Oryctolagus cuniculus: one gene and its partners. The protein of the gene in region 2 binds, or shares a complex with, the protein of the main gene of each other region. Links are inferred from orthologs where the notes say so. Each region holds a gene or a part of one and is shown on either strand. Other genes may lie near its edges. The genes, in order: DRC12, IQCG and GAS8.

Region 1 (8,084 bases), on a different chromosome or scaffold from region 2:
CCCACAAGTGTGTATTCCCCGCCCCCCGTGTGCATGCCTGTGGTGGCTTGGGGTAGAACTGAGTGTGAGTGGGGGGAGCAGTGAGGATGTCTCTGCCCTAGGGCAGTTCCTGTGGGAGGTGGACCCAGGACTGCCTGCCGAGAAGGCCGGGATGCAGGCTGGGGACCGGCTGGTGGCTGTGGCTGGGGAGAGCGTGGAGGGGCTGGGCCACGAGGAGACAGTGTCCAGGATCCGGGCACAGGGCGCTTGTGTCTCTCTCGTCGTCGTCGACCCTGAGGCTGACCGCTTCTTCAGAATGGTGCGTGCTGAGGGCCAGGGCTAGGGAGGGGGAAGCCAGGAGCGAGGCGCAGGTGCCACAGGTGCGCTCGCTCTGGCCCTCCAGGTGCGCCTCTCCCCACTCCTCTTCTTGGAGCACACAGAGGCCATCACCGCCACCCAGGACACCCACGTGGCTGCTCTGGTTGAGTCCGAGGATGCGTGCCTTGAAGATGCCGCCGAGCCTCCACTCCCTCCTGGCTCCTGCCGGTGCCTCCTGTACCCTGGGCCTGGCGGTGGCTATGGCTTCCGACTCAGTTTTGTGGCCAGTGGGCCTTTTCTCTTTATCTCCCAGGTGACTGATGCCCCCTGGAGCTTGGGTCCTTTGCAGCATTTTTTAAAAAAGATTTATTTATTTATCTGAAAGGCAGAGGTACAGAGAAGGAGAAGCAGAGAGAGAGAGAGAGAGAGAATCTTCCACCTGCTGATTTACTCTCCAAAGGCCACAATGGCCAGGGCTGGGTCAGTCTGAAGCCAGGAGCCAGAAACTTCTTCCAGGTCTCTCACATGGGTGCAGGGCCCCAAGGACTTGGGCCATCTTCCGCTGCTTTCCCAGGTGTATTAGCAGGGAGCTGAATTGGAAGTGGAGCAACCAGGACTCAAACCAGTGCCCATGTGTGATGCCATTGCTGTAGACGGCATAGCACAGCCCCCTTCCCAGCATTTCCTCCTGATCAGTGCCCATCTCCCTCCCTCCTAGAGCCATAGAGCACTGGCACCCGGCAGACTCCCCCATGGCCTTTCCTTGTTCTGTGCCGTCAGGTGACTCCAGGAAGCTCCGCTGCCCGCGCAGGGCTGCAAAGGGGAGACATGGTTCTGGAGGTGAACGGGGTCTCCGTGGGTGGAGATGGCACCCCGCAAAGGCTTCAGCAGCTGGCGGAGGCGGAGCCACCCCTCTGCCTGAAGCTGGCGGCCAGGTCTCAGTGGGGCTCGGAGGCCTGGACTCCCCCCGGGTCTGGAGAGGTGAGCAAGAAGAGACAGGTGGGACTGCGAGCGCCAGCGAAGGCCAGAGTGGGACGGCTGCAGGGTGGGACTTCAAGTCACGGGGTCGGGGGGCAGAGAATCCACGGAACAATGCCACTCCTGCACATTCGGGGGCAGTGGGGGCAGGGCGAAGGGACACTCAGGGTCCAGGGACAACCTTCTGCCATTGTCTCTGAGCAGGACTGGGCTCTCCCCTCGGATGTGCTGTAGAGCGCCTCAGCTTGGCGAGATCTCCCAGGGCCTCTCGTGTCTTCACAGCCAGCCCGAGGTGGTGGCAAGGATGCTGTCACTCAGCCGGAAGCTGGGGCTGGAGGACTCGGACACCGCCCACCGCAGCACTGCCCGGGAGCCCCCTCCCTTGCCATGGCCCAGCTGTCAGCAGAAGGGCTGGGGCAGAGGCCTCGGGGGCCTCAGGTGCCGGGGGATGTCCCTCGGTGGCTGTAGATGGCTGCACCCCGAGGACTAAGTTCTGCCTGAGAAGGGGGTGCTGTGGGGCTGGCTGGGCTGGAAGCCCTCTGGGACTTGACCTAGGTGCCACTCTGGGACTCTCTGGGTCCAAGAATTGGGAGACCCAGCAACCCCCTCCCTGAGTGGGCACCTTCGGGCTGGGGGGGCTGGCCCCTGGACGCTGTGTGTCTGTTATTTAAATGGCCTTTCCCCATAAATCGGACTGCCTGTGTTTTTGTTGGTGGAGATATGGGGCAGTGGTTTAAAGGGAGCTGGAGGTCCCAGGCTCGGGGGCTGGGCTCCAGTTTCTGTAGGAGAAGGGGTGGGACTTTGCCGGTTTTCTCTCTCATCACTCAGCCTTGTGGATCAAGGGACGGGATGCTCAGAACAGAGGTGTCCCCACGGAAGCCACTCCTTTATGACAAAAGGCCACAGCCCACGGTTCAGCTGAGTTCTCCTTCAGGATATTTTATTTCTGGGGTCTCAGAGGGTCCCAGAGCCCAGAGGCTGGCAGCTTCAAAGATCCAGGGGGTTGAGTCCAAGCTGGCGCAGCTGCTCCTTGTGTCTGGCGTGGAGTCGCAGTGCGGCCTCGTCCCACTGGGGCTGGGTGGCCCTCAGCTTGGCCAGGAGCCGGTCCAGGCTGCCCTGCGGATACCAAGCTCCCAGTCCCCAGGAAGAGAGGGCGGCTGCCTTGTGAGCTCTCCCTGCCAGCATTCTTCCTGGTCTAAGGGAGTGGGCACCGTGGAACTCCCTCTGCCTGTGCTAGGGACAGAGCAGGGGTCCCTTGGAGTCCCTTTCTTCTCTTCCCCCCGGGTTGTCAGTCATCACCCTGTGGGGCTCGTGGAGGTGGCGGGGTGCTCACGTGTAAGATGTCCTCGTACTTGGCTTCCATGCTGGCCACGTGGGCCCGAAGCTGAGCCAAGGTGTGGTCCCGCTCTCCGAGGGCCCTCGCTGCCTCCCCCTGTGCAGCCACAGCCTCCCTCTGGCAAGTCTCTGGGGAGCAGAGCAGAGGATGGGAGAGGACAGGACGGTGAATTTGGTGCTTGCACAGTCTCCAAAGGCACCTGAAAAGGAGGCTCTGAGTGTGTTCATTTCAGACTCCGCCCAGGTCAGCGACCTCCTCATAGTCCCTGCAAAGAGCTGAAGGTCCATTGAGGTTTATGAGTAGTGAGCTTGGAGAGGAGCTGGGGGCTAAGTCTGGTTGTCACTGTTCGTGTAAGCTCACGCATGTCTCCCTAAACCCCAGTTTCTTCTTTATTTGAGAGGCATCTGTGGGCACTTGCACACACACACACACACACACACACACACACACACACACACACACCATGGCTCCTCTCTGCTGGTTCACTCCCCAAATGCTTGCAACTGAAGTCAGGAACTTAATCCATGTGTCTGACGTGAGTGGCAGGAATCCAACTACTTGAGCCATCAGCTGCTGCCTCCTGGGGTGCACAGTAGCAGGAGTGGAGCTGTGACTCAAACCTTGGAGCTTCAAAATGACATGTGGGCCACCCAGTCAGCATCTTAATTGCTACACCAAACACCTACCCCAGTTTCTTCATCTTAAAGGGCAAATGAGGGGCCAGAGTTGTGGTGTGGTGGGTTAAGCCACCACTGTGACACTGGCGTCCCACACCAGGGTGCCAGTTTGAGTCCCAGCTGTCCCACTTCTGATCCAGCTCCCCGCTAACGCACCTGGGAAGGCAGAAGAAGATGGCCCAGGTGCTTGGGCCCTTGGAAAACTTGGATGGAGTTCCTGGCTCCTGGCTTCAGCCAGTCCCAGTCCTGGCTGTTGTAGCCATTTGGGAAGTGAACCAGTGGATGGAAGAACTCTCCTTTCTGTCTTTCAAATAAATAATTTTTTATATTGAGAGAGAGAGAGAAGGAAGAGAAGAGAGAGAAGAGAAGAGAAGAGAAGAGAAGAGAAGAGAAGAGAAGAGAAGAGAAGAGAGAAAGAGAAAGAGAGAAAGAGAAAGAGAAAGAGAGAAAGAGAAAGAGAAAGAGAAAGAGGTCTTCCATCCTCTGGTTCACTTCCCCAATGGCTGCAACAGCCAGGACTGGGCCAAGAAGCAAGAGGGAAGAGAAGCAAAGGCTTCCTGGCTTTTATATTTTTGCTTATATAGAGAGTTTATCCACTTATTTAGGAAAAAGGATCTACCAGGTGGTAGGCCTTAGAGATATAGAAGTTAAGAAGCCTAACATTTTCCCTTAGTTTCATTGTAAAAATTAGCTAACCTGAGAAGGGAGATGAAGAATATTTCAGAAAGTTAGAAGGAAATATGACTGGAAATAATGGCCAGCATTATGGTGCTGTGGATTAAGGCACCACTTGTAATACCCACATCCCACATGGGAGCATTGGCTCAAGTCCTGGTTCTTCCACCTTTGGTCCAACTTCCTGCTAATGTGTCTGGGAAGGTTTTGGAAGATGGCCCGTGTACTTGGGCCCCTGCCACCCATGTGGGAGACCAGATGAAATTCTAGGCTCCTGGTTTTGGCCTGGCCCAGCACAGGCCATTGCAGCCATTTGGGGAGTGAACCAGCAGATGGAAGATCTCTGTGTCTCTGTTTCTCTTTCTCTCTCTGTAACTCTGCCTTTCAAATAAATAAATAAATCTTTTAAAAAATGCATAGATTTTCAATGTTTCTTGCACCTAAGCTTATCCTGTAATTCCATTTTTCCATGAGTATTTTGATGTGCTCTGATATGCCCTGGAGAGACGTGGCAGTGGCAGGGAGTGAGGTGACAGCTGGGTCTGGAGATTCCAGGCAAGGGGGGATAGGGCGAGGTGTGCCTCTTCCTTACTTTGCCCTAAAGGGTCTTTTTTTATTTTTATTTTTATTTTTATTGTTATTTTTTGACAGGCAGAGTTAGACAGTGACAGAGAGAGAGAGACAGAGAGAAAGGTCTTCCTCCCGTTGGTTCACCCCCGAAAAGGCTGCTACGGCCTGTGCGCTGCGCGGATCCGAAGCCAGGAGCAGGGTACTTCCTCCTGGTCTCCCATGTGGGTGCATGGCCCAAGGACCTGGGCCATCTTCCACTGCCTTCCTGGGCCGCAGCAGGGAGCTGGACTGGAAAAGGTGCAACCGGGACTAGAACCCGGGGTGCCAGCGCCCCAGGCGGAGGATTAGCCTAGTGAGCTGCATGCTGTCCTCACCTCTGCCTGATCCTCACTGCGGGAGCCAAGGTTGGGGGAGGGGAAGACGATGGCAGCCTTCTAGGAGAAGACCTAAGTTTGCCCCCGCACTGAACCTGGATCTTGTCAGCCTCCCTTGGAGAGGAAAGGCCCAGGGCAGGGCGGGGCACCTACCCAGCTGCTTGCGGAGACCCCTCACTTCCTCCTCCAGCTGCTTGCTGCGTCTCTCCATCTGCTCCTGCAGGGCCCTGCACCGGCGACTCATCTCTGGAGGGAGGACGGTGGACGGCCAGGGATGGAGGAGGGATGGAGAAAGGCAAGGAGTTGGGGGCGGGAAGGAACTGTGTGGTCCAGGAGACAGGAGCCCAAGGAACTGCTCAGTTCCTGTGATCCTGGGATGCTGGGAGACCCTGGACACCTGGGGAAAGGGAAGGACACCAGGCCGCCTCCCCACTCCGGCTTAGGATCAGGGCCCCAGCCCATCTGCCCGCTCACTGCTGCTGAGTGAATGAAACAGTGGCTGGGACTGCGTCCTGTGTCCCCCAGTGCAGCTGGCACTGACACTGGCCCCAGGCACCCTGGAAGGTCCCTGCCTGCGAGCCCAGAGGCCTCCTTGCATCCACCAGGAGTTGCCTGCTTTGTGCTACGCAGGGAAGGCTGAGACCGGGCCCGGCAGTCAGAAGCCCCTCTTATCTTCTCCCAGGCCCTTGTGTCCTGCCCAGCTGCTGAACCGACCACGCACCTGCATATACGGCCTTCCCCTCGCTGCGGGCCTCTTCCAGTTCAGCCTCCAACTCTTGCAACCTCTGCTTCAGCCTTTCTTCAGAAGCCTTGGCTCGACGGGCCCCTTCCCCCTGTAGAGCTGCGAGCGGTCCCGGAGCCCTGCTCAGAGCCTGCTGAGGGCCGCTGAATCAGCCCCAGAGGGCTGGATGGCCTTTCCTGTCTCTAGAAATCCGGTGGTAGCTGGAACAGGTGCTGTGGTATAGTGAGTAAAGCCACTGCCTGCAGTGCTGGCATCCCATATGGGCACCAGTCAGGTCCTGGCTGCTCCACTTCTGATCCAGCTCTCTGCTATGTCCTGGGAAAGCAGTGGAAGATGGCCCAATGCCTTGGGCCCCTGCACCTGCCTGGGAGGCCTGGAAGGAGCTCCTGGCTCCTGGCTTCGGATCAGTGCAGCTCCAGCCATTGTAGCCAACTGGGGGAGTGAACCAGTGGATGGAAGACCTCTCTCTCTCTCTCTCTCTCTCTCTCTCTCTCTCCTTCTCTCTCTATGTAACTCTGACTTTCAAATAAATAAATAAATCTTAAAAATAAAAGACACCTGGGGGCAGGGCACCCCACCTCTTATTCTTTCTCTTTCTCTTTCTGTTTTTTTTTTTCTTTTTAAGTATTTATTTTATTTATTTGAAAGGCACTGTGGCAGAGAGAGAGAGACAGAGACAGAGAGAGAAAGATTGTCCATCCACTGATTCACTCCCCAAATGGCTGCTATGGCTGGGGCTGGGCCCCAGTACTTGCACCATTACCGGCTGCTTTCCCAGAAACATTAGCAGGAGTTGGACTGGCAGTGGAGCAGCCAGTGGGATGCTGGTGTCGCAGGTGGTGACTGAACCCATGTCACCACAATGCCCGCCCCTTTCTGTCTCTCCAGGTTGTTGGGTCATTTTATTTTCCTAGGATCTCATGAGCTTTTCATTGCTAAGGAGTAAAACCTCCCTCCATGTTCTGGCTGTAAATAATAGCGTCCCTCATCAGCCTTCCCTGTCCTGTTCCACTAGGGGATGGTTAGGGTTTGGCGTAGCTTCCACCGTGGCTCCAAACGTCCAGTCCCGCCAGGACACAGCAGCGCCCCCACTGCTCTGCTTCTGTGGTCCCAGATAGCTCACCCTTCTTACCCAGCCGGTCTCGGAGCAGCTCCGTCTCCAGCACCAGCTGTCTGTGCTTGGACTCGGCCTCCACATCTGTCCTGGCAAATGACAGAGCCTTAGCTTACATGACCCCCGCCCCCGGCCCTGGACTCCGTCCTGAGCCAGCTCTGAGGGCTCCCTGCGGGCAGAGTCCATTCAGCATGCACCGTGTGCTCCCTGCCCAGCACAGATGAGGCATTCAACATATGGGTGACCAGTGGGGAGGCACAGAGCTGGGCGGTCTCGAGGGAGGGCGTGGGTGACCATTCCCCCATTCCTCAGCTCCGTGGAATCTGGACAGCGAGGACTGTGCTGCGGGCCTCTGCTTGGTCTCTGTTTCAGAACCCAGAGAAACGGGCACCCACCCCCACCCACGACGACTCACCCGGCCCTGGGTTCTTTTTCTTCTTCTGCACGCCGGCTTTCCTGCCTTTCTGTTTGGTCTTGGGTGGCATTTCCTTGCTGTCCTGATGGAGGGAGGGGACCTTGCTTTCAAATCTGGACAAGGGGATCCTGAACCAGGAGTCTTGGGAGGGTCAGAAGTCTGCTTTCCAAGTCTGCCCCTTTCTCTTGTTTTAAAGACACAAGTCTTTCTTTTTTAAAGATTTATTTATTTCAAAAAAATATTTATTTAGTTGAAAGCCAGAGTTGGGGCAGGGGGTGGAAGGAGAGATCTTCCATCTGCTGATTTAGTCCCTAAATGGCCCCAGTGGCCAGGGTTGGGCCAGGCAGAAGTAAGGAGTCTGGACCCCTGATCTCCCACGTGGGTGCCGGGGCCCCAGGACTTGCCCATTCTCTGCCGCCTTCCAGGCACATTAACAGGGAACTGGATCAGAAGTGGAGCAGCCAGGACTTGAACTGGCACTCGAATGGTACTTTAGAAAGTTCGTGGGATACAGACTGGGCATTCGGTCTAGTGGTCAAGACGTCCACAGTCCATATCAGAGTGCCTGCTGCACTCCTGGCTGCAGCGCCTGACTTCTGCTTCCTGCTGCAGAGACTCGGGGAGGTAGCAGGGTGATTCAAGCAGGTGGATTCTTGCCACCCCCTTGGGAGAACTGGACTGAGTTCCCAGCTCCCAGCTTTGGCCAGGTCCAGTCCCAGCCATTAGGGGAATTGGGGGAGTGAACCAGCAGATGGGGCCTCTGTCTGTCTTTCTGTCGGTCTCTCTCTGACTCTCAACATAGTTACAATTAAGGGAGAAATGAGAACAACAACAACAACAAAAGAACAAAAAAGTTAATAGAAAATACAGTTAAATCCATTCACAGTTTCTTTCTTTTTTTTTCTT
Region 2 (6,185 bases):
GAGAGCACTTAATGGCATCTTAGAAAACCCCTTCCTTCTTTCTGTCTAGCTCCACCACTCCTGCCTTCCGCACTCAATTGTGGGTGGAGGAGAAGGACCCACGGGCTCACAGAACAAACCAGGAGCTTTTGTTCAAGTTGAAACCACCGGGGATAATCTTCCCCTGTATTTTAAACCTCTTCAGTTGTCAAGATCCTAGTTATCTAGGTCTTTTCTGTGGTTGTTAACTTTTGGATTTTATCAATGCATGCATTTGATCGTAATGTTATCCATCTTTTTAAAATGTAAGTGCAGCACCTAAAAGTAGCTTTAGATAATAACATTTTCTCCTTGTTCCTGCAGAGAAATATGTTCATTAGCACATCACCACTTTTCTCAGTCTTGAAATTAAACATAAAATATCTAAGCGCAAAGCCCAGTCCCACAGGTCCTCACAGAACAAAAGCAATATATCTTATGAGTGCTGAGAGCCAGACCCATTATATTTTAAATGGCAGAAAGACCCACCAGCCTTGGAACTTGCTTAGAATTTAAGCCTTAGTAGTTTTAAACTGTAGGTGTTTTTCCTTCTAGTCAACATTAAACCTCAGTACAATCTCCAAATTACAGAGCACCACCAGAAATGAAAGTCTACAAAGGACTGGCCTGTTTTTAACATTATGCAAGGAATAATTCCAGAAGACATTACATAATGCAGCATTGGCAACAAATGTTTCCATTGGAATAAGTGGAAATTTAAGTTGATTTCAAATTTTGCACATAACATGAAACCTTAATATTATTTTTATTGAACTAATTCACATTTGCATTTGAACTGTTGGAAACATTTGTGTAGAGTTTTGGTAATGAAAAGTAGCAAATATATTGAGTTTGTTTCAGGAAACAAAAATCATTTTTGTTTTTTTTTTTAAGACATTTTGTATTCAGTGTTTTGTGTGTAGTTCTTTTTTTTTTTTTTTTTTTTTTTTTTTTTAACTGGAAAGAACAACTCAGTTTAACATTTAGTCTTGCTGGGCTCCAATGAAAGATGAAGATGTCCTTGTCACAGTGCCCCTGACCTGCAGCAGTGACCTTGACCTTGCCAGCCCTGACCCCGAAAAGGCTGAGTGCCCACCCAGAGGGGCCTGCCACCTACAGAGATGCTGGCAGCAGTTCCCCAGCTTCCTGGCGCATCTCTGAGAACCCTGCACACCAACCCTCTCTCCCAATGCCCACGTCTGGAAACAGCTCCTGGGAAGAGGGGCCTTTGTGCTTGGCTGGAACAGAGCAGAGAGGCCAAGCAGCTGTCATGCTCCCTGTCAGCTTCTGAAACCTAACCCAGGAGTCTGACCGCTCCTACTTTCCACAGCTCAGCGGTGACTAACGATGTGTGACTGTGCTGACACGGCTGAATTCATATAAACTAAGCTCTTAAATGGTTATAGAAGTGAAGGAACCCATGGATATTCAGAAGTCTTTTTATGTACACATTACAGTGAGATGGTTTACAGCAGGATTTCATCTTATGTCTGGATATGTTAAAAACGTGTAATTAGCAAGTTTTGTAAAACTGTCCTATATTTGTATGTCTGTAAATACATTGCATAATATGTTCTAAGTATAAATATGTCAGTATCATATATGTTATTTTAAATTGACTGTATGCTGCCTTACACATTGACATTAAAATAAAAGCCAACACTTAAGTAGCATGTAAATAAATGTTTGAACGTATTCATACATCAAGTATGGTTACTGCAGCTAAGATGAATTCTGGAGGGGTAGTGAATTCCCTGAAGGAACTGGTCTGTGAAACAGGCCTTTGAAATCAAAATGTACTTTATTAAGGGAGCAGATATCCAGACTACTCCGCATTTGGAGTTCATGAAACACAGATGACACATTAAGGGTAACTTTTCTCCCAGAAATACCCAGTTATGCCACCAGGACAGCTTTAGCATCCCAAGACATTCTATTTGGATTCATGAGAGCAAGAATGGCCTTATGGGCTCGAACAGTCAGCCAGGCACAGGTGCTTCTTTTCACATACCTTAATTATTAGCCTTCATGCCCCTTAGGTGGGAATTGTTGAGTAAGCGGAGCAGAGAGAGACCCTAACGTCTCACTTGTGCAAACTATCTCCAAACTAGCCTTCAAGAGAAGTGTTGCCATCTTTACTATTTGTAGGCCATATTTATGTCCTAACATCTCATTTCTATCTTGAATTCCTAATTTTTATCCTCACCTATTTCCCAGGAAATTCACATAAGCAGCCTATAATAGGATATGTATTCTATGCCACCTGCCCCCCAGTAAAAACACTAAAATGGTAATAAATCTAAGGCAAGCAAAAACCAATGTTTACTACTACTTTACTATGTGTATACTTTGTGAGACACTTTAAAAACGTTATCTTGTAATTCCTACTGAACACCTCAGTTTTGTTCATAAGAGTTGTTTCCCTGTATACACTTTGGATAAAGTCAGAATGAGACATTGTAGGAATTACCCAAGTGTGTGTTAGTGTATCACTATGACAAAGCCTATGAACTGTTTTTGTTTTTTTGTTTGTTTTGGTTTTTTTTTTTTTTTTTTTTTTTTTTTTTTTTTTTTTGTGAAAAGGCAGGAAGAACCTTCATAAGGCTACTGGATATACTTGCCGGCAGCATTCAGAATATAAGGACACCTGAAGTCAACAGTACACTCCTGATTCAGGGTTTGAAAACTAATGCAACAGGCAAAAAGAAACCACCAGCCTTCCCTTGCCGAGTCCAAGTTAACCTTGGATTAGTTACCTGTGGTGCAAAGAGATCATTCTCCCTCCAAGCACCCCTTCCCATCTCTGGAACACCAGGAGAAAGGACAGAAATGGCTCAGTCACTTCTTGCCTCTCCTCTTGTCCTTGTCTTTGCCTTTGCCTTTTGATTCTTTGCTATCATCTTTCTCCTTTTTGGGCAGTTTGAAGCCACCAATTTCCTTCCGTATCACAGTGCCGCGCCACCAGGCCTGAAGCTGAAAGACAGGACGTGTGAGTACCACCTCTGGTGGGCCTTCCACCTAAGGGGGTTTTTGAACCAGGTAACCTGTGTCAGAGAATGGTCTCTGCCTAGGACATGGAAGTGGCTAGGTACCCAGTCACCATGGCAATGCTTCCCTGCTGCACAGGACCCAGAGCTAAAGCCATGGACTTGAGTTAAGTTCTTGAGGACTAAGGATACAGGAAGGAATCTGTTTTGCCAAATAGTCCTTCCCACTTAGATACCTGACTTCCTTGTACGGCTGCTTCCTTTAATGGACACCCAGGTGCCCCATAACCAACAGTGTTTGGTGCTTGGGCAGGGGGAAAAGCAAGCACTCAATCAAAAATGTGCAGATGAGCCCAGATGACCTTGGGCTTCCTGGTACATCTCCTATCTGTAGTAACTGAGTAAAGGACCCATTTGCCTCTTACTCTCAAAAAGGATCTAGGGAGGCCGGTGCTGTGGCTCAACAGGCTAATCCTCCACCTGCAGCGCCAGCACACCAGGTTCTAGTCCCAGTCGAGGCGCCGGATTCTGTCCCGGTTGCCCCTGTTCCAGGCCAGCTCTCTGCTGTGGCCTGGGAGTGCAGTGGAGGATGGCCCAAGTGCTTGGGCTCTGCACCCGCATGGGAGACTAGGAGAAGCACCTGGCTCCTGGCTTCAATCAGTGCAGTGTGCCGGCTGCAGCGCGCCAGCCCCAGCGGCCATTGGAGGGTGAACCAACGGAAAAGGAAGACCTCTCTCTCACTGTCCACTCTGCCTATCAAAAAAATAAATAAAAAAATAAAAAAAAAAAGCTCTAGGGAGCTCCCTTGAATACCTCTGTTAGATGTAACTGTTCTGAATACACTGTAGTCCACTTTAAAATCAAATTAAGTGGGGCCAGTGCTGTGGCACAGAGGTTTAACATCCTGGCCTGAAGTGCCGGCATCCCATATTGGTGCTGGTTCAGGACCCGGCTGCTCCACTTCCCATCCAGCTCTCTGCTATGGCCTGGGACAGCAGTGGAAGATGGCCGAAGTCCGTGGGCCCCTGGACCCGCGTGGGAGACCCAAAAGAAGCTCCTGGCTCCTGGCTTCGGATCAGCACAGCTCCGGCCATTGCAGCCAATTGGGGAGTGAACCATCAGATGGAAGACCTCTCTCTCTGCCTCTCCTCTCTCTGTGTAACTCTGACTTTCAAATAAATAAATCTTAAAAAAAAAAAAATCAAATTAAGTCCTAGTGACTGGGAAGCAGATCCACCAGTGAAGAGAAATATAAGTGGCCTTCAGCTTCTTTACATTTTTGCTCTAAATAGAAGAATCCTGATGGATGGAAAACTCCATAGAAGCTTGATAAATACGTGCTAACTATATAGACCTGGCTCAAAGAAAGCTCGGGTTGGGTCTGCGTGCCTGGTCCCAGGTGTACTTGAAAGCTGCTTGCCCACCAGGGCTCAGCAGATGGCCCTCCTGCGGGGAGAAGGGCAGTCTGAGGACAGCATGTCAGTCCAGCTCACAGGACTTCTGCATCACCATTTTTGCCTGAAAGTATTTCCCAGGAACTGTGAGCTGCCACAGTTACTAATATACACAAGCTCACACATAACTAACTAGGGTCTTTAATCCCTAACCCGCTTCTATCAGAACCCAGCAGTCTGATTTGCAGACAAGACTTTAGGGAGCAGTACATTCAAAGGAATCATTCTGGCAAGAGCTGGTTTGGTTAGAAATCGCATTCCGGGGCTGGCACTGTGGCGCAGCGGGTTAAAGCCCTGTTCTGAAGCACTGGCATCCATATGGGCTCCAGTTTGAGACCAGCTGCTCCTTTTCTGATCCAGCTCTCTGCTATGGCCTGGGAAAGCAGTAGAAGATGGCCCAAGTCCTTGGGCCCCTGTACCCACACGGGAGACCCAGAAGAAGCTCCTGGCTCCTGGCTTCGGATTGGCGCAGCTCCGGCCGTTGCAGCCATCTGGGGAGTAAACCAGCGGATGGAAGACCTCTCTCTCTGTCTACCTCTCTCTGTAACTCTGTCTTTCAAATAAATAAAATAAATCTTAAAAAAAAAAAAAAGAAAGAAATCATATTCCACCTGTGGACCCGGGTGTTGCTTCTGCTGCTAACCACCTTTTTCTAATCAGTGCTGGAAGACTCCAGCACTAACCAACAGCCACACTTCCTCAGGGCCCTCCCATTCTGCGGTAAGCGGCTGAGAGTTTGGTATGAGAAAAGCTTTGTGTTCCGCACCTGAGGCCATCAGTGGCCCTGAGGGACCCTGAGAGGCCGAGGCTTGTTTCCTACCTTTATGATGCTCCTTAATTCCAGGTCATCCTGTTCTATCTTCTTCCTCGTCTTCTCCTTTTCTATACGATCCTCGATGATGACCTGTTCATACTCCCTTATCTGCAAAAACAGACATTAGTTATGTGTTAAACAATCGCCCAACCAGATCTATACTTTCAATTTAAGATAGGTAACAGAAAGTATTTTAAATATAAAGATAAATTAGGGGTGAGTGTTTGCCATAGAAGTCAAAATGCCACTTGGGATACCTGTTTCCTATCCTGGAGTGCCAGGGTTTAGGTCCCAGTTTCCTAGTGCACACCCTGGGAGGCAGCAGGTGGTGGTTCAAGTAACTGGGTCCCTGCCACCCACGGAGACCCAGATTTGAGTTCCCAGCTCCAGGCCTCAGCCTGGCCCATTCCTAACTTGCAGGTATCTGGGTAGTGAACCAGCAGATGGAAGATATCTGTCTCTTTGCTTTTCAAATAAGTTTTTTAAGTATAAAGAAAAAAAAACTTAGTGGATTCCTGAATTGCAAATGTTCACATGATAACTATAGTTGCCCCCCAGATTTTTTCAGCTCAATTAATTCAAACAAGTTGTAAATTTTCATAAAAATGAAAGAATAGGGGTGGCTATCTGGAACAGCGGTGAAGACGCCACTCTGTAGTACATCACATGCTGAACCAGAGTGCCTGCGTTTGAGTCCTGGCTCCACTGCCAGTTTCAGCGTTGCTGGTGGCAGCAAGTGATGGCTCAAGTACTTAGGTCCCTACCACCTACATGGGAGATCTGGATTGAGTTCTAGGCTCCTGGCTTTGGCCTGGCTGTGGAGGGCATTTGGGGAATGATCCAGCAGATGGAAGGTCATGTAACTTTATTTTCCTCTCTCTCCCTCCCCCTTTCAAATAAATAAAATTTTAA
Region 3 (7,518 bases), on a different chromosome or scaffold from region 2:
CCCACCCTCTCCTGGGGGCCCCCGGGGCTGTGATTTTCCTAGGTGGAGAGCCCAGGGACGCAGCTGCTCCCCAGGCCTGTGTCTGGGTCTGTCGCTGAAGAGCTCAGGCCCGCAGAGAACCCGTCCTCATGCTGTGCTCAGGTAACAAGAACCTGACGTGAGCCAGTCTGGGTGGCTGCAGTGGGAGGGGCTGAGTCTCAGGCACCATGAAGGAAGGAGGGGCTGGGGGAGACTGACAGCCTGCAGCCCCACTGACGTGTCCACAAGCTGGCAACGACAGCCTGAGAGGCCACCACCAGCAGCTCCCCTGCGGTCACCTGAGAGGTCTCTGCCCGCCCACACAGGCACGGGGCAGCAGTGAGCAGTCCCACCGCTTGGCCAGCCTGGCCCGCACCGCCTCAGAAGCCTGCCCAAGGCCTACCTCAAGTTTGCGGGACACAAGCGTCAGGGTGGCAGGGTCCAGGTTGGAGGCGGCCAGCACCTCGTTGAACTGCACCTCCCTCTTCTCCACAGCGGCATTCAGGGCCTGCAGCTTGCGTTCCAGCAGCAGGTTCTTGAAGCCCGTCTTCTGCTGCACCTCCTGGATGGCGGCCGTGAACTTCTGGTAGAGCTCATCGCGCTCCTGTTGTACCTGCAGAGACGGGACTGGGGTAAGCATCGAGGACGCTTACCTGCAGACATGTCCCTGGCGAGAGGTCATTTCCCACCCCTGCCCCTGCTGGGCACATGCTGCCCCCCAGGAAGGTCTCAGGCAGCAAAGGGGCATCCTGGTGGGAGCTGGAGCAGCCCCAGCTAAAAGCCAATCCACAAGTGGTCAACAGCCTGAGCTACTGCTTCTGACCTCAAGTGACACCTGTCCCTGACCACCTGTGTGTGAAATCCAAGGCATCTAACTGCCAGCAGGAAGCATTTATGAGGTGGGGGGCCCCTTGAGCGGTCCTGGAATCCCACTGCTGCCGACGCACCCCACAATGGCCAGTCTGGAAGCCAGCACACTGCCCAGTGGTAGAACTACTCTCCTCTTCTCCTAACTCTGCTACTGACTGTGTTGTACAGGAATGAAGACATCACACAAGTGTCAAAAGCAGTGCCAGTGCTGTGGCGCAGCGGATTAAGCTGCCACCTGCAAAGCCAGAATTCCTTAGGGGTGCTGGTTCGAGTCCTGGCTGCTCCTCTTCCATCCAGCTTCCTGCTAATGTGTCTGGGAAAGCAGCAGAAGATGGCCCAAGTGCTTGGGCCCCTGGCAAAAGCTCCTGGCTCCAGTCTGGCACAGCTCCGGTCACTGCAGCCATTTGGGCAGTGAACCAAGGATGGAAGATATCTCTCTTTCTCTCTCTCTGTAATTCTGACTTTCAAATACATAAACAAACCTTTAAAAAAAAATGCAAGTGTTGGTTACAACACAATCCCAGTTTCTACAGTAAAGCACACAGGAAGAAGACCATGTCTAGAAAGAGGCTCACGACACTGCCTCCCCCTTGAGGGCCACTACTGGGCAGCAGGTCGGCTCCTTTCCACCTGCACGATGGACAGTGCCACGTTGTGCAGTTAGGCTAGTGCTCAGGAACGTGACACAGGGCGATGAAAAGGGCTGCCGTGAGGGGCCAAGCTACCCAACCTGTGTGAGAGGCCGGCTTCTGAGGAGACAGAGAGGGCGCAGCCACCACCACCGGGCCACCTTCTGCAGAACAGGCCCCAAGGTTCTGCCTCCTACAAGCTGCGTGAAGTACAGAGCCAGCATTAAGGACGCCAGCTTTCAGGGCCGGCGCTGTGGCAGAGGCCTGAAGTGCCAGCATCCCAGATGGGCACTGGTTCTAGACCTGGCTGCTCCTCTTCTGATCCAGCTCTCTGCTGTGGCCTGGGAAAGCAGTGGAAGATGGCCCAACTCCTTGGGCCCCTGCACCCACGTGGGAGACCTAAAAGAGGCTCTTGGCTCCTGGCTTCGATCGGCGCAGCTCCAGCCATTGCAGCCATCTGGGGAGTGAACCAGCAGATGGAAGACCTCTTTCTCTGTCTCTACCTCTCTCTCTACCTCTTTCAAATAAATAAAATAAATCTTTTTTTAAAAAGGAACTCCAGCTTTCAAACCCAGAAACTAGCCGCTTGTCAAAACCTCCTGGAGCGGGTGACAGGGGTCGAGGCCCCAGGACAGCCCTGACCAGCTGGCAGGGGTCTTGGCCACACTGAAGGCAAGCCCGGTGCTCGCTCACCTTCAGGAACCGCTGCTCCAGCACTTCGTGCTCCCACTGCAGGTCTTTCAGCTCCTTCTCAGTGACTTTCAAACGCGCTTTTGTGCACTGGAGAGACAACAGGCAACGGGACCTAGAAATCACTCAGGACTCACAGGCATCCCTCACACACAGGCAGGGCGCAGAGAACCGAGTGAAACCACCGGTGTGAAGATGCAAGCAGCTGCCTCCCACCACGGCCAGCTGGTGGGACACGATCAAAGATTAGGGCCATCTCCCAGGACACCCGCCAACTTCACATCCCCAGGCCGGCACCAGCCACACACAGGAGACTGCAGCCCCCAGCCCTCCATTCCTGACTTAAGGGCAAAGGCCACTCAGGCGTCTCAGCCGTCTCCCCGCCGCTCGCTCCCTCCTGAGCCCAGGAAGGAGAGAAGTGGGCAGGACACTCACAACCAGGATCTGCTTGTCCCGCTCGTAGTTCCCAAGCTGCTTCTGCATCTCGTGCATCTCGTCCCGCGCCTTCTGCAGCGGGTCGGCCAGGCGCTTGTTCTGCATGGACACCTCCGCCATCTCCCTCTCCAGGTGTTCTTCTTTCTTCCGCATGTCCTCCATTTGCTCCTGTCAGCACAAGCAGAGGTACGGGAGGTGCTAGCTGGGCAGAAACGAGGGGCTACGGCCTGCAGGGCAAGGCCAGCTGTCCTCAGTCTCACCAACAGGTACGTGTATAAACAGAGTATTTACACACAGTTTTAACTGATTCTGAATTTTCTAGGAATGCAGCGTCCAGGCAGAGAGATGACACTTTGGGATTCCATCAAAGCTGGCTTGCTGTGGAAACCTTACCACTGCCAGCGTCTGAGTGACTCCGTGCCATCCAGTCCAGTGCACCGCAGCCGTATGCCGGCCACGGGTGTGCCTGAGCCTTCCCATACCACTTCTTCCCTCTACAGTGCAGCCAGGCAGATGCTCTGACTGGCTTCAGTTAGGCACGTTTGTGAATTCAAAGGACGGACGGCAGAGGGGCATCCTCCAGTGGGCTTTAAGACAGGCACACTGTGTCTCCCAGCACCTTAAGGGAGTTGATGAGGGCCAGGTTGTTGAGGGTGATGTCGTTGTAGTAGTTCTTGATGTCGGTGAAGGCCTCTTCGTGGCGCTGCATCAGTGTGTTGATCTGGCTGTTCTTCCTCTCCTCCACCTCGTGGATCTCAGTCTTCCTCCGCAGGTCAAGTTCATCCCGAAGCATCTTCATCTTCTTATCGTACTTGGACTCAATTTCTGAAAGGCAGCAGCGCACACAGAAGCTTACAAGAGGAAGAACAGGTGCCCCTGCAGTTACACAGATGGGGTCTGTGAACAGGGCCCCAGAACACCTTCCACGGCCAAGACCAAGGTGCATAAAGGTCTCCACAGGAGAGCAGGACGGTGCAGGTGGATCGTTCCTGCCGAGGCGCACAGGGGACACATTCAGCATACGCTGCCTTCCTCTGCCAGGGCTCCCAGCAGCTGAGCGTCAGCCAGTGCCGGCGGGCACCAACCACGGCCCGTATGGCCTTGGAGCAGCCAAAGATGACAAGGCTTTACTGGAAACCAGGCCGACTTCTGAAACCGGACGACCAGGAGGCCTGGAGAAGATGAACCTCCGACGTTGCCACCAGAGTGACTAACAAACGCCTGCTGGTTGCTGGCACCGCCATAGCTCAATAGGCTAATCCTCCGCCTGCAGCGCCGGCATACCGGTTTCTAGTCCCGGTCGGGGCGCTGGATTCTGTCCCAGTTGCCCCTCTTCCAGGCCAGCTCTCTGCTATGGCCCGGGAGTGCAGTGGAGGATGGCCCAGGTGCTTGGGCCCTGCACCCCATGGGAGACCAGGAGAAGCACCTGGCTCCTGCCTTCGGATCAGCGCGGTGCGCCGGCCGTAGTGCACCAGCCACAGCGACCATTGGAGGGTGAACCAATGAAAAGGAAGACCTTTCTCTCTGTATCTCTCTCTCACTGTCCACTCTGCCTGTCAATAAAATAATAATAATAAAAATAATAAAATAAAATAAATAAAAAAAAACAAATGCCTGCTGGCAGCCGCTGACCCCAGCCAGGAGCAGGTAAGTGAGGGAGCGCAGCGTCCCAAGCGTTCGTGGAAGTGAGCTCTCTGCATTCCTGGGCTGCTCTGATCCACTTTATGTACCCTGACTGAGCAAGCTCTGGACGTGGCTGCTTCTTGTCGGCGGGGTCTGGCCCCAGGCTGCACAGTGTGAATGGGAGAGACTGACCTCGAACTTGCCTCTCAAAGTCGTTCCGCATCTTAGTGATCTCCTCGGTGTGTTTCTGCAGAGGAGAACGTCAGTTATTAGCAGGACCAGAGGAAGCGCCCCTCCTTTGCAGTGACCACACTCCCACCCTCCAGGAGACATCCAGCTCAGAAAATCCTGCGCTGCTGCTGGCTAACATGGTTTGGTCACCTCCATGCTTTCTGGTTCCCCTCTTCTGTATTTAAGAGTCAGAGAGACAGAGACAGAATAGAGAGCTTCTATCTGCTGGAATGGTCACTCCACAAGTGCCCATTAACAGCCAGAGCTGGGCCAGGCCCAAGCCAGAAGCCAGTGGTCTCCCATGTGGGTGTGAGGGACCCAATGACTTAGCCCACCACCACTGCCTCTGGGGTCTACATTAGCAAACAGTGGAGTGTGTAGCCAGGGGCAGGTCAGATGTCAAATCCAGGCACTCTGACATGGGACACATTTCTTCCTGTTTTTCTTAAGATGGTACCTTTTTTGCTGGAAAAGCAGACAGAGAGAAACTGTCCATATGTCCACTTATTCACTCCCTAAAATGCCTGCAGCAGCTAGGGCTGGACCAGGTGAAAACCAGGACACAAGAACTCAATCCAGGTCACCCACATGGGCGGCAGGGACCCAACTTCTTAAGCCTCCCAGGATGCACCAGAGTAGGAAGCTGGATGGGAAGCAGAGGACTGTGCCTCAAACCAGGCACTCGGGTATGCTACAAGCTGCCGGTGCCCTATGCAGCAGCTTAACCCCTATGGCAAGTACCTGCCCCAACCTCCACACCTTTTTTTATTTTTAAAGATTTATTTATTTGAAAGGCAGAGTTACAGAGAGGCCGAGGCAGAGAGAGAGACAGAGAGAGACAGAGAGGTCTTTCATCCAATGGTTCACTCCCCAGATGGTACAACGGCGGGAACTGCACCGATCCAAAGCCAGGAGCCAGGAGCTTCTTCTGGACCTCCCACATGGGTGCAGGGACCCAAGGAGTTGGGCCATCTTCTACTGCTTTCCCAGGCCATAGCAGGGAGCTGGATCGGAAGAGGAGCAGCCAGGACTCAAACCAGCGCCCATATGGAAAGCCAGCACTGCAATCAGCAGCTTTACCCACTACGTCACAGTACCGACCCCAATCCAACCCCCGTATCTCTTAAGGCACTTCCTTCAGCCGGCTGGGTCACCTCCTACCAAGCTTGAGAGAGCAGCGGCAGACAAGGCACTGAGCACAGTTCCATCTCTCACACGCTGAGAAGCAGTGCCTTGTCTACGCACGACTGTGGGCTCTCCAGGTCCCTCACCAGCTCCTGCTACTCTGCCTCACTGGTGCTTAGAGCAGCACTCAACACGTACCATGATAAGCAATTACTGCAAGTTTTTGAATAAAAATTTATTTTTAGAGCAATCTTTTCACTGCTCTAGAAAGGAGAGCCCTGATTATGTAACAGCCTCCTATCTAGGACTCAGGCTATGCCGACAGCCTCACATCACTCAGCTCACCCAAAACCAGAGTCGGAGCTACAGCGGCCCACAATGCAGTCTTCGCTGCCACTGAAGTTCCCTCCAGCTTCTGTCAAGGCTGGGCTACTTCCAGACATGAGACAAACGTGTGAAGAAACTCTGCCCAATCCAGCAGCCAGGAGCAACCTTGAAAACTGAAGTCAAAGGCAGCTCCTCTCTGCCCAAATTCTCAAAACGCTACTGACAGCCAACTCACTGTGGCTTTTCAGGCCCACGAGCCCTGCGGCTTCCCTTCAGCCCTCTCACTCCTCGCTCCTCTGGCCTCTGGGCCCTCCCATGGGCCCAGCCCCTCTCTGGGGCTGTCACCTCCTTCCTTCTGGCCTCTGCCAGACGCTGCCCCCTCCGGGAGTGCTTCCCAGAGCCCTCGGAGGAAACGGCTGCCTCCCTTCACTCCTGCTCCCCACTCTTGCACCACGTTGCTCCTCCAACAGGGACCCCCCCTTAAGCTGAGCCATACCTGTGAGTGTCTGTCACTCAAATTCTATATACTATGTTGTGCACTGTCTCGTCTCCTTTCTAGATCACCAGCCCCCTAGAATAGGCCTCTTGAGGGCCTGGTACCCAAGTGCACTCAGCCAACGTGTCTCAGTCGCTACCTAGAAACTTCCAGCACCCCTCAGAATGGCTCAGCCCCAGACTCACTCAAAACTTGACTGTGCAAGGCCGGCGCCGTGGCTCAATAGGCTAATCCTCCACCTTGCGGCGCCGGCACACCGGGTTCTAGTCCCGGTCGGGGCGCCGGATTCTGTCCCGGTTGCCCCTCTTCCAGGCCAGTTCTCTGCTATGGCCAGGGAGTGCAGTGGAGGATGGCCCAGGTGCTTGGGCCCTGCACCCCATGGGAGACCAGGAAAAGCACCTGGCTCCTGGCTCCTGCCATCGGATCAGCGCGGTGCGCCGGCTGCAGCAGCGGCCATTGGAGGGTGAACCAACGGCAAAGGAAGACCTTTCTCTCTCTGTCTCTCTCTCTCACTGTCCACTCTGCCTGTCAAAAATAAAAAAAATAAAAAAAAAATAAAAAAAAATTAAAAAAAAAAAACTTGACTGTGCAAAAGTCAACGTGGGTCAAGCCGCTGCTTCCAACGCTGGCAACTCCAATGATGGCTTGACTTCGTCTGCTCCACTTTTTTGTTTGTTTAAGTAGAAAAGACTTTATTTTAGGGGGAAACCGAAGAGAGGGTGAGGGGTTACAGAACAGAGGTTGAGCCAGTCCAAGAAAGAGGGCAGGGAGTTTGAAACCAGGCTCCATTCCTCTCACTGCTCCACTTCCGATCCAGCTCTCTGCTGTGGCCTAGAAAGCAGCGGAAGATGACCAAGTGCTTGAGCCCCTGCACCAGCCCCAGCCACTGTGGCCACGTGTGGAGTGAACCAGTGGATGGAAAACCTCTCTCTCTCTCTGCCTCTCCTTCTCTGTGTAACTCTGACTTTCAAATAAATAAATAAATCTTAAAAAAAGTAAACGAAATGCTGGTGAGCCCAGCCAGCAGGACTAACTGCCGCAGCTGCCCAGACGTTCACCTGGTGCACAGCTCAG

What was found.
Region 1: IQCG (region 2) and DRC12 share a complex: the UniProt entries of both Homo sapiens proteins name them as parts of the nexin-dynein regulatory complex. The link is inferred for Oryctolagus cuniculus from reciprocal best matches to the Homo sapiens genes DRC9 and DRC12.
Region 3: IQCG (region 2) and GAS8 share a complex: the UniProt entries of both Homo sapiens proteins name them as parts of the nexin-dynein regulatory complex. The link is inferred for Oryctolagus cuniculus from reciprocal best matches to the Homo sapiens genes DRC9 and DRC4.

What each region holds. Positions count from the first base shown.
Region 1 is NC_091432.1:111,114,693-111,122,776, reverse strand, and holds the end of DRC12 (dynein regulatory complex protein 12), read right to left. Parts: intron 7,261-8,084; 5' UTR 7,249-7,260; coding exon 7,179-7,248; intron 6,848-7,178; coding exon 6,782-6,847; intron 5,749-6,781; coding exon 5,629-5,748; intron 5,154-5,628; coding exon 5,061-5,153; intron 2,740-5,060; coding exon 2,609-2,739; intron 2,392-2,608; coding exon 2,263-2,391; 3' UTR 2,195-2,262; downstream 1-2,194. Other genes in the region: NHERF4 (Na(+)/H(+) exchange regulatory cofactor NHE-RF4), read left to right, coding at 102-298, 383-610, 1,078-1,278, 1,558-1,743. UniProt on the Homo sapiens protein: Component of the nexin-dynein regulatory complex (N-DRC), a key regulator of ciliary/flagellar motility which maintains the alignment and integrity of the distal axoneme and regulates microtubule sliding in motile axonemes.
Region 2 is NC_091435.1:82,161,701-82,167,885, reverse strand, and holds the end of IQCG (dynein regulatory complex protein 9), read right to left. Parts: intron 5,382-6,185; coding exon 5,280-5,381; intron 2,992-5,279; coding exon 2,857-2,991; 3' UTR 942-2,856; downstream 1-941. UniProt on the Homo sapiens protein: Component of the nexin-dynein regulatory complex (N-DRC), a key regulator of ciliary/flagellar motility which maintains the alignment and integrity of the distal axoneme and regulates microtubule sliding in motile axonemes.
Region 3 is NC_091449.1:69,570,840-69,578,357, reverse strand, and holds part of GAS8 (dynein regulatory complex subunit 4), read right to left. Parts: exon of another isoform or gene 7,503-7,518; intron 4,513-7,502; coding exon 4,458-4,512; intron 3,468-4,457; coding exon 3,262-3,467; intron 2,811-3,261; coding exon 2,643-2,810; intron 2,298-2,642; coding exon 2,211-2,297; intron 632-2,210; coding exon 422-631; intron 1-421. UniProt on the Homo sapiens protein: Component of the nexin-dynein regulatory complex (N-DRC), a key regulator of ciliary/flagellar motility which maintains the alignment and integrity of the distal axoneme and regulates microtubule sliding in motile axonemes.